2 linked regions of the Pelodiscus sinensis genome follow. The protein of the gene in region 2 purifies or fractionates together with the protein of the main gene of each other region. This does not show direct contact. Links are inferred from orthologs where the notes say so. Each region holds a gene or a part of one and is shown on either strand. Other genes may lie near its edges.

The links. Proteins that work in one complex are often made in the same cells at the same time.
Region 1: the proteins of VASP (region 2) and PFN1 purify together in Homo sapiens (affinity purification with western blotting; 3 studies listed by BioGRID and IntAct, with this or other methods). This does not show direct contact. The link is inferred for Pelodiscus sinensis from reciprocal best matches to the Homo sapiens genes VASP and PFN1.

What each region holds. Positions count from the first base shown.
Region 1 is NC_134734.1:8,471,249-8,478,961, forward strand, and holds the start of PFN1 (profilin-1), read right to left. Parts: upstream 3,099-7,713; 5' UTR 2,850-3,098; coding exon 2,718-2,849; intron 1-2,717. UniProt on the Homo sapiens protein: Binds to actin and affects the structure of the cytoskeleton. At high concentrations, profilin prevents the polymerization of actin, whereas it enhances it at low concentrations. By binding to PIP2, it inhibits the formation of IP3 and DG.
Region 2 is NW_027465849.1:6,816,091-6,823,865, forward strand, and holds the start of VASP (vasodilator-stimulated phosphoprotein), read right to left. Parts: upstream 3,067-7,775; 5' UTR 2,947-3,066; coding exon 2,912-2,946; exon of another isoform or gene 2,831-2,911; coding exon of another isoform or gene 2,826-2,830; intron 1-2,825. UniProt on the Homo sapiens protein: Ena/VASP proteins are actin-associated proteins involved in a range of processes dependent on cytoskeleton remodeling and cell polarity such as axon guidance, lamellipodial and filopodial dynamics, platelet activation and cell migration.

The DNA of each region.
Region 1 (7,713 bases), on a different chromosome or scaffold from region 2:
CTCTAATCCACCAGCCCTCACTCACCTCCCAGAGCCAGGGAGAGAACCCAGAAATCCTGGGAGACAAGATATTAAGGAGGGGATCCCCATGGATGTTATGGGCATGGTATTCCCCCTCAGGTGACCTGGATATGCCAGAATCTGCCTCGCTAAGGTCCTGTGAGTGTCCCTCCCGACAGCACTAGAAAAAGAGGGGGCCCAGATGGGCCCCAGCACATGAGCAGTTCATCCCTGACCCATTCTAGGGGAGAGTAGAGACTGCTGGTCCTGGCAGCAATGAGGGGAAGGGAGAAGTGTTCCAGATCCCCCCTCCCCATGTTCACCCATCTAAAAGCAGCAGCCAGGGCAGGGGGGGCGGGGGTATGCTGACACACTTGTACAACTGCAGGAGCGGGACAGGGATGGGTCTGTACCAGCTCTGTGCTGACTCATACCCAAGTCACTTTGGATCAGAGCCGCTCCTGTAAAGGACCTGAAGTAGGCATGTAAAGTCCCAATTACCTGGTGTAAGGTAAAGTTAACCATTTAACCGAGATCCCTTAACTGGTAAGCATCACCCTTACCAGATAATGGTGAGGTAAAGGTGAAGCTTACCTGTTAACCAGTTACATCCCTAGCCTGGAATAAACACATACACTCTCATCTGGAATCCAACAGGATCCTAGTTGGTTTCCCATCCTCTTTCTGGCCAGGACAGCTGGACAAGATGGCAGGAGACTCTAAACACCCTTACTGTTTTCCAGACAGGAAGGGAGAGGAATCAGCCTTAGACACTAGCTAGGAAGGCATTTGAAGCGGGAAAATATTTTGTACTCTCAGCCAAAAAGTTTCCACAAGAAGGGAGAAAAAGTTAGGCCCTGAACTGGGAGCAGAGGCAGGGGATTTGTTTTTTTTAAAACACAGAAATGGGAAGCAGAGGCTGAACTGAACTTGTTTTTGCAAGCAGGGAGGAGGGGAACAGGAAAAAAGGGAGATCTGGAAAGATTAGAAGAGAGACAGATTCAGGCCCGCAGCAGCAGCAGGCAAAGACGTGGCAGTGAAAGGAAAAGATTAAATACAGACAGACGGTAAACTTGCTTCCCGCCTCCACCCTTTTTATTAACCCAGCAGAGGGGGTAGCTGGCTTTCTGAGAAGTTTACAAGAGTTTCTTCTCTGCTAGCGGGGAGAGAAGGGAATTTTTTTGCACAAGAATTCCTGATTCAAGACAGCAACTGCTGAGCCCCAGCACTCAAGTCTGGCAGCCTCCCCCTCTCCCCCCAACTCTATATCTGCAACCTGATGCTGCAGTTTGCAATTCATGCAGGTTGAAAGTGCACAAGAGGGGGGCTTCTGAGGGATGCAACATGAAGTTAGACTTTTAAAACTCTGCCACAAGGATGGAGGCCAGCTGCAGCTGGCTCTGTGGTGAGGCAGCTCCTCTTACAGGGATCTTTGGCCCTGAGATACAGCCATCTCTGGGGCACGGCAGCCATGAAAGCACCATAAAGAACCAGGAAATCGGATTTCCAATGCAGTAAAAAAATAAAGCTAAAAACTTGCATGTCTAGGCTAGCAGATGAACTGTGTTTTCATCCCTGTCTCAGAGGGTGGGATAAGACTCATCAGGGAATTCTGACACTTTGGAGCCAGTTTGCCTTGCACAGGCAGGGACAGATATAGGCCTCATGTCCTCCCCCCCCCCCCCCCGCCTCCCTTCCGTCTCTTCTTGAGTCATTTCCTCCTGGTAGCTGCCTGGGCCCTGTAGTCAGCAGCAGGGTGGGGCTGGCCGCAAAGCCTGCAAGAAGGTGCTAGCTAGGCCCTATTCACACCCACTGGGAGGGATGGAGTCTGAGAGCCCCCAGGGGTCCTTCTTGGCCCTTATTTGCAAAGCAGCCTTGGAAGGAACTGGAAGCTGGGGGGGAACCAAGGTCCCCCCCATGCTGTGAGGCTTTTCAAGAGGAAGTGGCTTTTTCTTTCTTTCCACAAAGAAAGGGGTGCTGGTAGTGAGAAAGGGAGGCTACTGCAGAGAAGGAAGTCGTGGGGGTTGCTGTTCGCTGCTAACTGTGGGTTATTTCCTCCCCTAAAGACTTTGCAAACTTTTTTTGCAGCCACAGGGTCTCCCCCACTCTCCATGTGCGTCCATCACCCTGTCCCTCCAGTTCCTCTTTTTCACCCTGGCGATCTAACACCTCCCCCCGACTCCAAGCACCCCATTTCACCCAGATACACTCGGGCCTATTTGTGCACTACACCCCACAAGGGCCTGATCCCTCCTGCGGATCTCCCTCTCTCAAGTGCACCCACATCTACTTACACCAACACTCCCTACTTTCCCTCCGCCCTCTTTAGCAATGTCCCCGTTATCCCCTTCTGCTATATACACCCCCTGCCCTCCATGCACTTCCGGCCTCCCCTCTTTGGAATCCAGGCTCCCTGCCCCCTTTCCTATACCCCCTGCACAAACTCTTCTGCAAGGGACCCCTACTTTCTAATGATACCCCCAGTCATTCCCCAGCCGCCTCCTCTTTGCAATGCAGCCCTCCCAAGCACTTCCTGCCTCCCCTCTCTTTCAGTGCACCCTCCCGGGGTCCCCTGTTTTGCCACGCACCCCACTTTCCCAATGCAGCCCTCCCAGGCACTTGCCTCCCCTCTTTGGAATCCGGGCCCCTCTTTTGCAATGCGCCTCGCCATCTCCCCTGCCTTTGCAAGGCACCCCTCTCCCCCGCCAGGGCCTCACCGTGATGTTGGCCAGCGTCTTGCCCGGAGTGGCGGCCCACACGGACGGGGTGTCCTTGTAGCCCACGATGGCCGCATCCTGGCAGGTGCCGTCCGCCATGAGGTTGTCGATGTAGGAGGACCAGCCGCTCATGGCTGCTGCTGCTGTTGCTGCTGGTGGTGGACCGGGCGCGCGCCCTGCACGATCCCGGAGAGGCCCCGCCGGACGCGACCGAATCAACCGCGCCCTGTGGCACGCGGCGGCGGGAGTGTGTGTGGGGGGAGGTGCTGCCGGTCGGGGGACGTACCGGACTCGCCCACTCCGGCCTGGGCGCGGGGAGGAGCAGGCACTGGAGAGCGGCAGAAGTGCAAAAGGCAAAACGCATGGGCCCCCCCGGCCCGGCGCGCGGCTTTTACATAGGCCAGCTCCCCTCGGGGGAGGGGCTCAGCGAGCCTGGAATCCATCCGCCGGCCCGCCCCCCGATCGGATCTATTTCTTCTTTTCCGTGCACCCCGGAACTAGGCACCCCTTTCCGCAATGCACCCCAGTGGGGTCCCACCACCCCCTTTTCCCTCGCGTACCCCACAGCGCCCCTTTCCACACTGCACCCCCTTTCCCTCGCGTACCCCACAGCGCCCCTTTCCACGCTGCACCCCCTTTCCCTCGCGTACCCCACAGCGCCCCTTTCCACGCTGCACCCCCTTTCCCTCGCGTACCCCGCAGCGCCCCTTTCCACGCTGCACCCCCTTTCCCTCGCGTACCCCGCAGCGCCCCTTTCCACGCTGCACCCCCTTTCCTCGCGTACCCCGCAGCGCCCCTTTCCACGCTGCACCCCCTTTCCCTCGCGTACCCCGCAGCGCCCCTTTCCACGCTGCACCCCCTTCCCTCGCGTACCCCGCAGCGCCCCTTTCCACGCTGCACCCCCTTCCCTCGCGTACCCCGCAGCGCCCCTTTCCACGCTGCACCCCCTTTCCCTCGCGTACCCCGCAGCGCCCCTTTCCACGCTGCACCCCCTTCCCTCGCGTACCCCGCAGCGCCCCTTTCCACGCTGCACCCCCTTCCCTCGCGTACCCCGCAGCGCCCCTTTCCACGCTGCACCCCCTTTCCCTCGCGTACCCCGCAGCGCCCCTTTCCACGCTGCACCCCCTTTCCCTCGCGTACCCCGCAGCGCCCCTTTCCACGCTGCACCCCCTTTCCCTCGCGTACCCCGCAGCGCCCCTTTCCACGCTGCACCCCCTTCCCTCGCGTACCCCGCAGCGCCCCTTTCCACGCTGCACCCCCTTTCCCTCGCGTACCCCGCAGCGCCCCTTTCCACGCTGCACCCCCTTTCCCTCGCGTACCCCGCAGCGCCCCTTTCCACGCTGCACCCCCTTTCCCTCGCGTACCCCGCAGCGCCCCTTTCCACGCTGCACCCCCTTTCCCTCGCGTACCCCGCAGCGCCCCTTTCCACGCTGCACCCCCTTTCCCTCGCGTACCCCGCAGCGCCCCTTTCCACGCTGCACCCCCTTTCCCTCGCGTACCCCGCAGCGCCCCTTTCCACGCTGCACCCCCTTTCCCTCGCGTACCCCGCAGCGCCCCTTTCCACGCTGCACCCCCTTTCCCTCGCGTACCCCGCAGCGCCCCTTTCCACGCTGCACCCCCTTCCCTCGCGTACCCCGCAGCGCCCCTTTCCACGCTGCACCCCCTTTCCCTCGCGTACCCCGCAGCGCCCCTTTCCACGCTGCACCCCCTTTCCCTCGCGTACCCCGCAGCGCCCCTTTCCACGCTGCACCCCCTTTCCCTCGCGTACCCCGCAGCGCCCCTTTCCACGCTGCACCCCCTTTCCCTCGCGTACCCCGCAGCGCCCCTTTCCACGCTGCACCCCCTTTCCCTCGCGTACCCCGCAGCGCCCCTTTCCACGCTGCACCCCCTTTCCCTCGCGTACCCCGCAGCGCCCCTTTCCACGCTGCACCCCCTTTCCCTCGCGTACCCCGCAGCGCCCCTTTCCACGCTGCACCCCTTCCCTCGCGTACCCCGCAGCGCCCCTTTCCACGCTGCACCCCCTTTCCCTCGCGTACCCCGCAGCGCCCCTTTCCACGCTGCACCCCCTTTCCCTCGCGTACCCCGCAGCGCCCCTTTCCACGCTGCACCCCTTCCCTCGCGTACCCCGCAGCGCCCCTTTCCACGCTGCACCCCCTTTCCCTCGCGTACCCCGCAGCGCCCCTTTCCACGCTGCACCCCCTTTCCCTCGCGTACCCCGCAGCGCCCCTTTCCACGCTGCACCCCCTTTCCCTCGCGTACCCCGCAGCGCCCCTTTCCACGCTGCACCCCCCTTCCCTCGCGTACCCCGCAGCGCCCCTTTCCACGCTGCACCCCCTTCCCTCGCGTACCCCGCAGCGCCCCTTTCCACGCTGCACCCCCTTTCCCTCGCGTACCCCGCAGCGCCCCTTTCCACGCTGCACCCCTTCCCTCGCGTACCCCGCAGCGCCCCTTTCCACGCTGCACCCCCTTTCCCTCGCGTACCCCGCAGCGCCCCTTTCCACGCTGCACCCCCTTCCCTCGCGTACCCCGCAGCGCCCCTTTCCACGCTGCACCCCCTTTCCCTCGCGTACCCCGCAGCGCCCCTTTCCACGCTGCACCCCCTTTCCCTCGCGTACCCCGCAGCGCCCCTTTCCACGCTGCACCCCCTTTCCCTCGCGTACCCCGCAGCGCCCCTTTCCACGCTGCACCCCCTTTCCCTCGCGTACCCCGCAGCGCCCCTTTCCACGCTGCACCCCCTTTCCCTCGCGTACCCCGCAGCGCCCCTTTCCACGCTGCACCCCCTTTCCCTCGCGTACCCCGCAGCGCCCCTTTCCACGCTGCACCCCCTTTCCCTCGCGTACCCCGCAGCGCCCCTTTCCACGCTGCACCCCCTTTCCCTCGCGTACCCCGCAGCGCCCCTTTCCACGCTGCACCCCCTTTCCCTCGCGTACCCCGCAGCGCCCCTTTCCACGCTGCACCCCCTTCCCTCGCGTACCCCGCAGCGCCCCTTTCCACGCTGCACCCCCTTTCCCTCGCGTACCCCGCAGCGCCCCTTTCCACGCTGCACCCCCTTTCCCTCGCGTACCCCGCAGCGCCCCTTTCCACGCTGCACCCCCTTCCCTCGCGTACCCCGCAGCGCCCCTTTCCACGCTGCACCCCCTTTCCCTCGCGTACCCCGCAGCGCCCCTTTCCACGCTGCACCCCCTTTCCCTCGCGTACCCCGCAGCGCCCCTTTCCACGCTGCACCCCCTTTCCCTCGCGTACCCCGCAGCGCCCCTTTCCACGCTGCACCCCCTTCCCTCGTGTACCCCGCAGCGCCCCTTTCCACGCTGCACCCCCTTCCCTCGTGTACCCCGCAGCGCCCCTTTCCACGCTGCACCCCCTTCCCTCGTGTACCCCGCAGCGCCCCTTTCCACGCTGCACCCCCTTCCCTCGTGTACCCCGCAGCGCCCCTTTCCACGCTGCACCCCCTTTCCCTCGTGTACCCCGCAGCGCCCCTTTCCACGCTGCACCCCCTTTCCCTCGTGTACCCCGCAGCGCCCCTTTCCACGCTGCACCCCCTTCCCTCGTGTACCCCGCAGCGCCCCTTTCCACGCTGCACCCCCTTTCCCTCGTGTACCCCGCAGCGCCCCTTTCCACGCTGCACCCCCTTTCCCTCGTGTACCCCGCAGCGCCCCTTTCCACGCTGCACCCCCTTTCCCTCGTGTACCCCGCAGCGCCCCTTTCCACGCTGCACCCCCTTTCCCTCGTGTACCCCACAGCGCCCCTTTTCACGCTGCCCCCCCTTCTCTCAGGTACCCCACAGCGCCTCCTTTTCACACTGCACCCATTTCCCTCATGTGCTCCCACAGCGCCCCTTTTCACACTGCACCCCCTTTCCCTCGTGTACCCCACAGCACCTCCTTTTCAGACTGTACCCCCTTTCACTCGTGTATCCCCATAGCACTATGCACCCCTAGGGTCTCCTTTATTTGCATTGCACCAACTTCCCCCTCATGTACCGCCTTTTCAGCAGGGCATCCTATTCCCACCATACTCCATCTGCTGTCTGTCCGGCAACCTCATTCCCTCATTTCCCACTTCACGCCCTCCCCCATATGTGCCCTTGAAAGCCCCCCCATATCATTCAAATCCCCCTTGTCCAAATCCCAGAGCCATCTAGATGAACCTCTCAGTGCCAGAGGGCCTGACTCCCCCGAATGCACCCAGGTCCAAAACAGGGCTCCACAAGTCATATACTGGCCCATGTTCCTTTCCACATGCATACATCATATATGTCAACATGTGCCCAATAGCACAGGCAAACTGCATGCTCAGGCAGGCCCTAGGAATTTTAATATTTCACATGTTGGGGCACACAGGCAAACTTCAGACATGCATGGACACATGTGAACTCTATTCTGCTACTCTAGGCTTCTCTCACACGCACAAACATGGACCAACACGTCAGCATGCAAACGCTGGGCCAAGACTGCAGGCAAGAACCCACTGTGCCCATGCACAAAGCATTCAAAAAAAGCATGCACACACTTGTCTGCAAGTATGCATGGATACATGGGTAACACCCCCCTCCGAGCAATCACATCCGCCCCACTCATCTACACACCAGGACATACATGTGCAGCCCTCTTCCCCACTGACATGCTAACACATGTGACTCCACCCTTCCCCCATCCAGACACACACATGTCCATTCAGACACACCAGGCCACACAAGGCTCCCTATGAACCAGGTAGGGAAACCCCTAACCTGAGCTGTGGGTTCCTATTGGCCCAGCCCAGAAGTTGCGTCATGGACTATTTGGCGGAGGAATTACATGTCAGTTTGCAACTTTTTACTTCTTCAGTACAACTTTTTTCCTCTGCGGTGGGGGGGCAGGGGTGGAGAGTCTCACTTCCTGTCGGTGGGGGGAGGGGCAGAGGATGGGGGATGGGTCAGGCTGAGTATGGGCTCTGCAAGCCTTTTGAAACTGAGCTGGGGCCCCTGCATCTCTCGCTCCCCACAGCCCCACATAAT
Region 2 (7,775 bases):
CATGGAAAGGGCTGGGCTCCCCAGCCAGAAGGGGTGGGGCACCAGCCTGGGAGGCAGCACCTGGGGGGGCGGACTCTGGAGCAGGAAGGGGGGGGGGAAGCAGCTGCCTGTAACCATATAAGGGCAGGTTTGAAGGACAGAGCCTGTTTGTCTCCAGGGGAGGAGGGGGGTTAAACAGGACACAATCCAGAGCTGCTCCCCTCTCCCTGTTTGGGGGATCAGGAACCCAGCCACCCCCAAAACACACCCGGGGAAGGGCTGAGCCCCGACCCACCCTCCTCCACCTGGGGAGACATGGGTGTGGAGGGGGGCTGGGCCGAGGCACCAAAGCTGGGCCTGGACACCCCTCCCCCCATGGAGGGAGAGGCAGCTGCCTCTGGGGAGGAGCAGGGCCAGTTGCAGGAGTCAGGCCAGGACAACCTGCCCTGCTCCGGGGCTGGCCCCTCCCACCCCGGCTCCCCTCAACTTCACCCCGCAGCACCTGCTACCCCAGTCCTGGTGGGGGCTGGGGGGGGGGGGCAGACGGGAGTCTCTGCAGCTAGGGAGGGGGAATCCAGGGGGCCTTGATCTTGTACCATCCCGAGTCCAGGGCTTCCCCCTCCCCCATGCGTCTGTTCCCCCCCCCCCTTCCCTGGGTGGGACCCTGAGTCACTTCCTGCCAAGCCCTGTCCTGCGGGTATGAGGGGGGGGGTTCCACAGCCTACCGCCCCTCCCCTGGCTCCCCCGCTTTCTGGGCACCCTGGGGACAACCCCCAGCAGGGCTGGGTGTGTTCATGACCCCCCCCACACACCTTCATTCCCCCTTGGGGTACCCCAGGAGACCCTCCTGGCCCAGGCCAGACAGCACCTAAGGGGTTCGTGCACCTGACTGCAGCCAACCCCCAGCGCCCAAGCCCCAGGTGTGTGTGGGGGGGCTGGGTGTCTCCACCCTCCCCCCACTTCCAGCAGGCTCTGGTCCCAGCACCCTGGGGTGGGGGGATCCCAGAATGCAATGGGGGTGGAGGGGTCAGGCCCTTCAGCAGGACCCCAGGGTATGAGGTGGGGGGAGAGGCAGGGCTCACCCCGCTTCTGCTGTAGCCCAGGGGCCTGCCAAGAGCCCCCCCCTCCGAACAACACCTCCCCCCCTACAGAACGGGAAGGGGAAGCCGGAGCCTGCCTGTGGCCACTTCCTGCTCTTTAGCAACCCGCAGACGCTGTGGCTCCAGCACCCACAAGCCCGCCCCACACGTCTGCCCCACAGATTCACACCCTCCAAGGAACAGCACCAAAGACAGAGCCCAACCCCCCCCCCCCCCCCAGCCACTCCAGCAGCTCTGGAATGTTTAGTGCCAACAGCTGAGCCCAGCCCAGGCAGGCCAGACCCCACCGGACCCCCCCCCCCCCCAGAGACACAGACAGCTGGGGGTTATGCAGCACCCAGCCCACAGAATGGGGGAACTTTCCTGGGACCCACCCCCAGGCGCAGCTGTGAGCAATGGGGGGTGGGGGGCTGCTCCCACAGGCAGGCATAGGGCCACCCTAAGGGAGGCAGGGGGGCCTGATGCACACACCTCGCCCTGCAGCCAGCCCGGGGTCCATGGGGGGCAGCACCCGGAACCAGCATCACTTGACTCCGGGTTTGGGCAGGGATCCGGGTCCGGGGGAGAAACTGGAGCCAGGATGCCTGAGTTCTGGCCGAGTTCTGCCAGGGGAGGTCAAGGCTGACCCCCACAGTGGGTTGTGACATCACAGACAAGCTAGCCCCCTGCCCCATAGGATCCAGCTCGGACACCCCCCCCCCCCCAAGAGCAGCCCCCTGCCCCACAGGATCCAGCTCGGACACCCCCCCCCCCAAGAGCAGCCCCCTGCCCCACAGGATCCAGCTCGGACACCCCCCCCCCAAGAGCAGCCCCCTGCCCCATAGGATCCAGCTCGGACACCCCCCCCCCCCCCAAGAGCAGCCCCCTGCCCCACAGGATCCAGCTCGGACACCCCCCCCCCCAAGAGCAGCCCCCTGCCCCACAGGATCCAGCTCGGACACCCCCCCCCCCAAGAGCAGCCCCCTGCCCCACAGGATCCAGCTCGGACACCCCCCCCCCCCAAGAGCAGCCCCCTGCCCCACAGGATCCAGCTCGGACACCCCCCCCCCAAGAGCAGCCCCCTGCCCTACACGATCCAGCTCGGACACCCCCCCCAGACCAGCCCCCTACCCCACACGATCCAGCTCGGACACCCCCCCCCCCCCAGACCAGCCCCATAGGATCCAGCTCGGACACCACCCCCGAGACCAGCCCCCTGCCCCATTGGATCCAACTCGGACACCAGCCCCCTGCCCCATTGGATCCAACTCGGACACCAGCCCCCTGCCCCATAGGATCCAACTCGGACACCAGCCCCCCAGACTAGCCCCCTGCCCCATAGGATCCAACTCGGACACCAGCCCCCCAGACTAGCCCCCTGCCCCATAGGATCCAGCTCGGACCCCTCCCCTCCGAGACCAAGAGCGGCTCTCGGGGAGGCGGAACCAGCCCAAGCGATCCTGGGGCCGCCAGTGCTCCGCCCGCCCGAGACAAGCACAACCCCCGCCCCCCAGCCCGGACGCTGGGTTCCTTACCGGGCCAAGCTCTGGGCGGAGGGCCACGGGGATGGGCGCCGGGGGCCACGGTGGGGGCTCAAGGCGCCCCCCGGGGCGGGAGACGGGCCGGGGGGAGGCACCAGAGTGACTCCCAGGGATACCCCTCCTCGCGATTCGGGGGGCGCCGGTCCCTAGTGCCCCCAGGCCGCCGCCCCCCGGGCTCCCCGCGGACAAAGCGCCCGGGGCGCAGGACGCGCGGCCGGTTCCTCACCCCATGGTGCCGGCTCCGGGCGCTCACTCCCGGCCGCAGCGGAGGCGGGGGCCCGGGCCCATGGGCTGCCTGCGGCTCCCGCCTACCTGGGCCCCTGGCTGCCCCGGCTCTGTGGGCGCATGGTCCCGGTCCCGGTCCCCGGCTCCGGCTACTGCGGGCTCCCACCCCTGCTGCGCTCCGGCGCGGCTCCACAATGCACCGCTCGGCCCGCCCCCAGCCGCCGCCCTCCTCCGAGGGGAAGGGCGGAGGGGTGAGCAAGGGGGCAGGTCGCCTGGGGTCTCCGCCCCGGGGACAGCGCTGGGGGAGGGGCTGGGTTCTCCGCCCCGTTGAGAGCGCTGGGGGGGGGGGCGGGGAGGGGCTGGGTTCTCCGCCCCGTTGAGAGCGCTGGGGGGGGTGGTTCTCTGCCCTGCTAGGGGGCGGGCTGGGTTCTCTGCCCCGCTGACAGCGCTGGGGGGGTGGGGGTTCTCTGCCCTGCTAGGGGGCGGGGAGGGGCTGGGTTCTCTGCCCCGCTGACAGCGCTGGGGGGGGGGGGGTTCTCTGCCCCGCTGACAGCGCTGTGGGGGGGGTTCTCTGCCCCGCTAGGGGGCGGGGAGGGGCTGGGTTCTCTGCCCTGCTGACAGCGCTGTGGGGGGGGGTTCTCTGCCCCGCTAGGGGGCGGGGAGGGGCTGGGTTCTCTGCCCCGCTGACAGCGCTGTGGGGGGGGAGGGTTCTCTGCCCCGCTGACAGCGCTGTGGGGGGGGGGTTCTCTGCCCCGCTGGGGGGCGGGGAGGGGCTGGGTTCTCTGCCCCGCTGACAGCGCTGGGGGGGGGGGGTTCTCTGCCCCGCTAGGGGGCGGGGAGGGGCTGGGTTCTCTGCCCCGCTGACAGCGCTGGGGGGGGGGGTTCTCTGCCCCGCTGGGGGGCGGGGAGGGGCTGGGTTCTCTGCCCCGCTGACAGCGCTGTGGGGGGGGGGTTCTCTGCCCCACTAGGGGGCGGGGAGGGGCTGGGTTCTCTGCCCCGCTGACAGCGCTGTGGGGGGGGGGGGTTCTCTGCCCCGCTAGGGGGCGGGGAGGGGCTGGGTTCTCTGCCCCGCTGACAGCGCTGGGGGGGGGGGGTTCTCTGCCCCGCTAGGGGGCGGGGAGGGGCTGGGTTCTCTGCCCTGCTGACAGCGCTGGGGGGGGGGTTCTCTGCCCCGCTGGGGGGCAGGGAGGGGCTGGGTTCTCCGCCCTGCTGAGAGCGTGTGAGCTGGATTCTCTGCCTACTTTGAACTCAAGCCTGGCCACTCTGGGTCAGGCCAGTAGTCCCCCAGCCCAGCGGCCTAGCTCTGACCACACCTGGCGCCGGTTCGCTAGGACAGAGCAATTATCCAGCCATCCATTCCCTGGCCCAGTGGCAGGGGGAGGCGGAGGCCAGAGTCACCCAGAGCATAGGTGACTCTTGGGGCCCATCCGCCCCTCCTTTGATGAACCCAGTTACGCTTCTGGGCTTCCTGGCCTCCCCTGGCGAGGAGTTCCACAGGTTAACTGCAGGGGGAAGTGCTCCCATGTAAACCTACTGCCTGTTGACTTCATCCATTCTTGTGTGAGGTCAAGGGATACATCCCACGGCCTTATCCCCCTCCCCAAACACGAGCATATAGTCCTGCAACCACACCCCCTACCCAGCATCTATCTCTCCTCCAAGCCCGGCCAGGGCCTGGCTTGTCTGTGATGTCACAGCTCGCTGGGGGCGTGGCCATGACCTCCCCTGGCAGGGCTGTGATGTCACAGTGAGTCCCTGGCCACGTGGGGGCCCCAGCCCCACAACCCCAGGGCTCCTGCCTGCACCCCACAGTGCTCCACCCCCAAGCCACTTTATTTGTGCCTGGCTTGCACCTCTCAGCTCCAGCTGTGCTCAGCCAGCCCTCTGGTACCACCTCGGATTGTACCTGCCCCACGCCCCACCTGGCACTGCCAAGCCTGTGTTCCCCTATGGCCAACTGTGTCCAGCCTGCGCCCCCCCAGTTCTGATTGTACCTGGCCTGCATCCGCCCACCCAGCTCTGGGTGCCACGCCAGCCCCTCCACCATTGCGTCCATCTCAGCAGAGCTGGGTGCGCGCGCACATGCACAGCAGATGGGCACATGCACCCAGCGGGGAGATGTGCATACACACACACACAGAGCGGGGGATGTGCACACACACGCACAGCAGATGTGCACACACACACAGAGCAGGGGGATGTGCACACACACATACAGCGGGGGGATGTGCACACACACATACAGCAGGGGGATGCGCGCGCACACACACAACAGGACATGTGCGTGCACCCACACACAGACAGAGCGGGGGGATGTGCACACACACGCACAGCAGATGTGCACACACACACAGAGCAGGGGGATGTGTGCACACACACAGTGGGGGGATGTGCACACACACACATACAGCGGGGGCATGCGTGCGCGCACACACAGCTGGGCATGTGCGGGCACACACACACAGAGCGGGGGATGTGCACGTACACACACACACAGCAGGAAATGTGCACACAGAGCGGGGGATGTGCACGCACACACAGAACAGGAAATGTCCACGCGCGCACACACAGCAGGGGGGGATGTGCACACATGCACAGCAGGAGATGTGCACACACACACACACACATACAGCAGGGGGATGTGCATGTGCGCACACACACAGCAGGATGTGTGCGCACGCACACACACAAAGACAGAGCGGGGGGATGTGCACACACACAGCAGAGGGATGTCCACACACACACACACAGAGGAAATTTGCACACACACAGTGGGGGGATGTACATGCACACAGCAGATGTCTGCGCACACACACACACAGCAGGGGGGATGTGCACACATGCGCACACACACACACACACACACACACACACACACACACACACACTTTCTCTGCTCTCTGGCCCCCCCCCCCGGCAGTCCCCCCAAGCTGTCTGTAGGCAGGCGGCTCCTGCCCTGTCACCTTCCCCGAGGGCAGAGTGGGCGCTCAGCATGGCACTGTGACCCACCGCCGGTGCCCGGCGTGGCCGGGGACACGTTTGGGCGAGGCTGCGCCACCCCCCAGCCAAGAGCCGTTCAACGGGGACCAGTGGCTGTGCCCGCCATACCTGCCTGCTCTTCTCATGGGGGTGCCTCCGCTCCAGTGGGGTCAGTGGCCGTGGCAGGCGTGGTGTCCAATCAGAGCCCAGTGCCAGGCACGTGGCAGGCGTGGCATCCAACCAGAACCAGGCACGTGGCAGGACGGAGGGTGGCTGGGGCCTGCTGCTCTTGCTGGAGGCTGGTGTCCCACGGGGGCTCGGGCCAAGGTTGGGTAGCGCCTGGGCAGGGGTCTGGCTGGGGCAGGGGGAGCAAGGGTCCCAGCTGGGGAAGGCTGGCAGGCAGGGCTGGGGGCACAGGCTCAGGGCCAGGAGGATGTGGGACCTCAGCACAGGAAGTCCAGGGGGCGCTGTGGTGGGGGGGGTACGATCCCGCCAGCCCATGGGCGGGGCCACAGTGAGGGTGGGAGGAGCCTCTACAGCCCGTGGGAGGAGCCACAGTGAGGGTGGGAGGAGCCTCTACAGCCCATGGGAGGAGCCACAGTGAGGATGGGAGGAGCCTCTACAGACCATAGGAGGAGCCACAGTGAGGATGGGAGGAGCCTCTACAGCCCATAGGAGGAGCCACAGTGAAGATGGGAGGAGCCTCTACAGACCATGGGAGGAGCCACATTGAGGGTGGGAGGAGCCTCTACAGCCCATGGGAGGGGCCACAGTGAGGATGGGAGGAGCCTCTACAGCCCATGGGAGGAGCCACAGTGAGGGTGGGAGGAGCCTCTACAGCCCATAGGAGGAGCCACAGTGAGGATGGGAGGAGCCTCTACAGACCATGGGAGGGGCCACAGTGAGGGTGAGTGGGGCTAGAGCCAGCCTGGGCTCCTGCACACTCTGGGGCTGCCCCAGCCCCGCATGCTGGGACCATCGACCTCTGCCCCCTGGGGTAGCTCTGTCCTTACTCCCCTCCCAGCCCCAGCAGCAGGGGGCGCTCTCAGAACCAGCCCCAGCACGGAGCCAAGGGACAAGGAGGCGAACGGGGGTCGGGCAGGGATTAGCTCCCCTGGCATGGGGCCAGCAGGCTCTCCCCCCACCCCACCCCGAGCGGGGGCGCCCCCTGCAGGGTGAGCGGCAGCATGTGCAGCACCTGTCCCCAGAGCAGTGAGCGAGGGGACCCTTAGCCAGCTGGGGGGCGGGGACAGGCAGAGCCGGGGCAGCTGTTCCCCACACACCGTTCCCACTTAGCACCCCCAGGAGGCTACAGGGCCAGTGGCTGGGACGGGGTGAGGACCAGGTTCTGCCCACACACCTGTGCCAGGCTGCCCTGGGGGCTGCACCCCCCCATTGCAGTGGACGGGTCCCTGTTCCCCCCACACACCTAGAGGCTCAGGCCCCTCCCACTTTGAGAGCCGTAGGCCAGGCTGGTCCAGCCCCACGTGCCTGGGAAGGCAGCAGCCACCGCACGAGGGACCAAGGAAACATGGGGAGCTGGAATTAATGTGGCACCGAGGTTGAGGGGGCCCCCTAGCCCCACAGCCCCCTGCCAGCTCAGGTCTGGACTCACCCCCCCCCCCCCCCCAGCTCTGCCATTGCCCTTGCGCTGCTCCCTGGCCTCCCCTCACCCCTTTGTCCTTGAGCAGTGAGTCCCCAGGGTTCAGAGATGCCTCCATGGGAGTTCACCTCCTGCCCCGGGAAGAAGGCACCTGGCTTGTCCGGCCTGGCCACCTCCCCAGCTGCTGTTCCCTGCCACCTGGCTGCCCCACTAGCCACTGTGCCTCACTGCCTGGCCGCTGCACCGGCCACTGCTCCTCCCTGCCTCGCCACCTGGCTGTCCCGCCGGCCACTGCTCCTCCCTGCCTCGCCACCTGGCTGTCCCGCCGGCCACTGCTCCTCCCTGCCTCGCCACCTGGCTGTCCCGCCG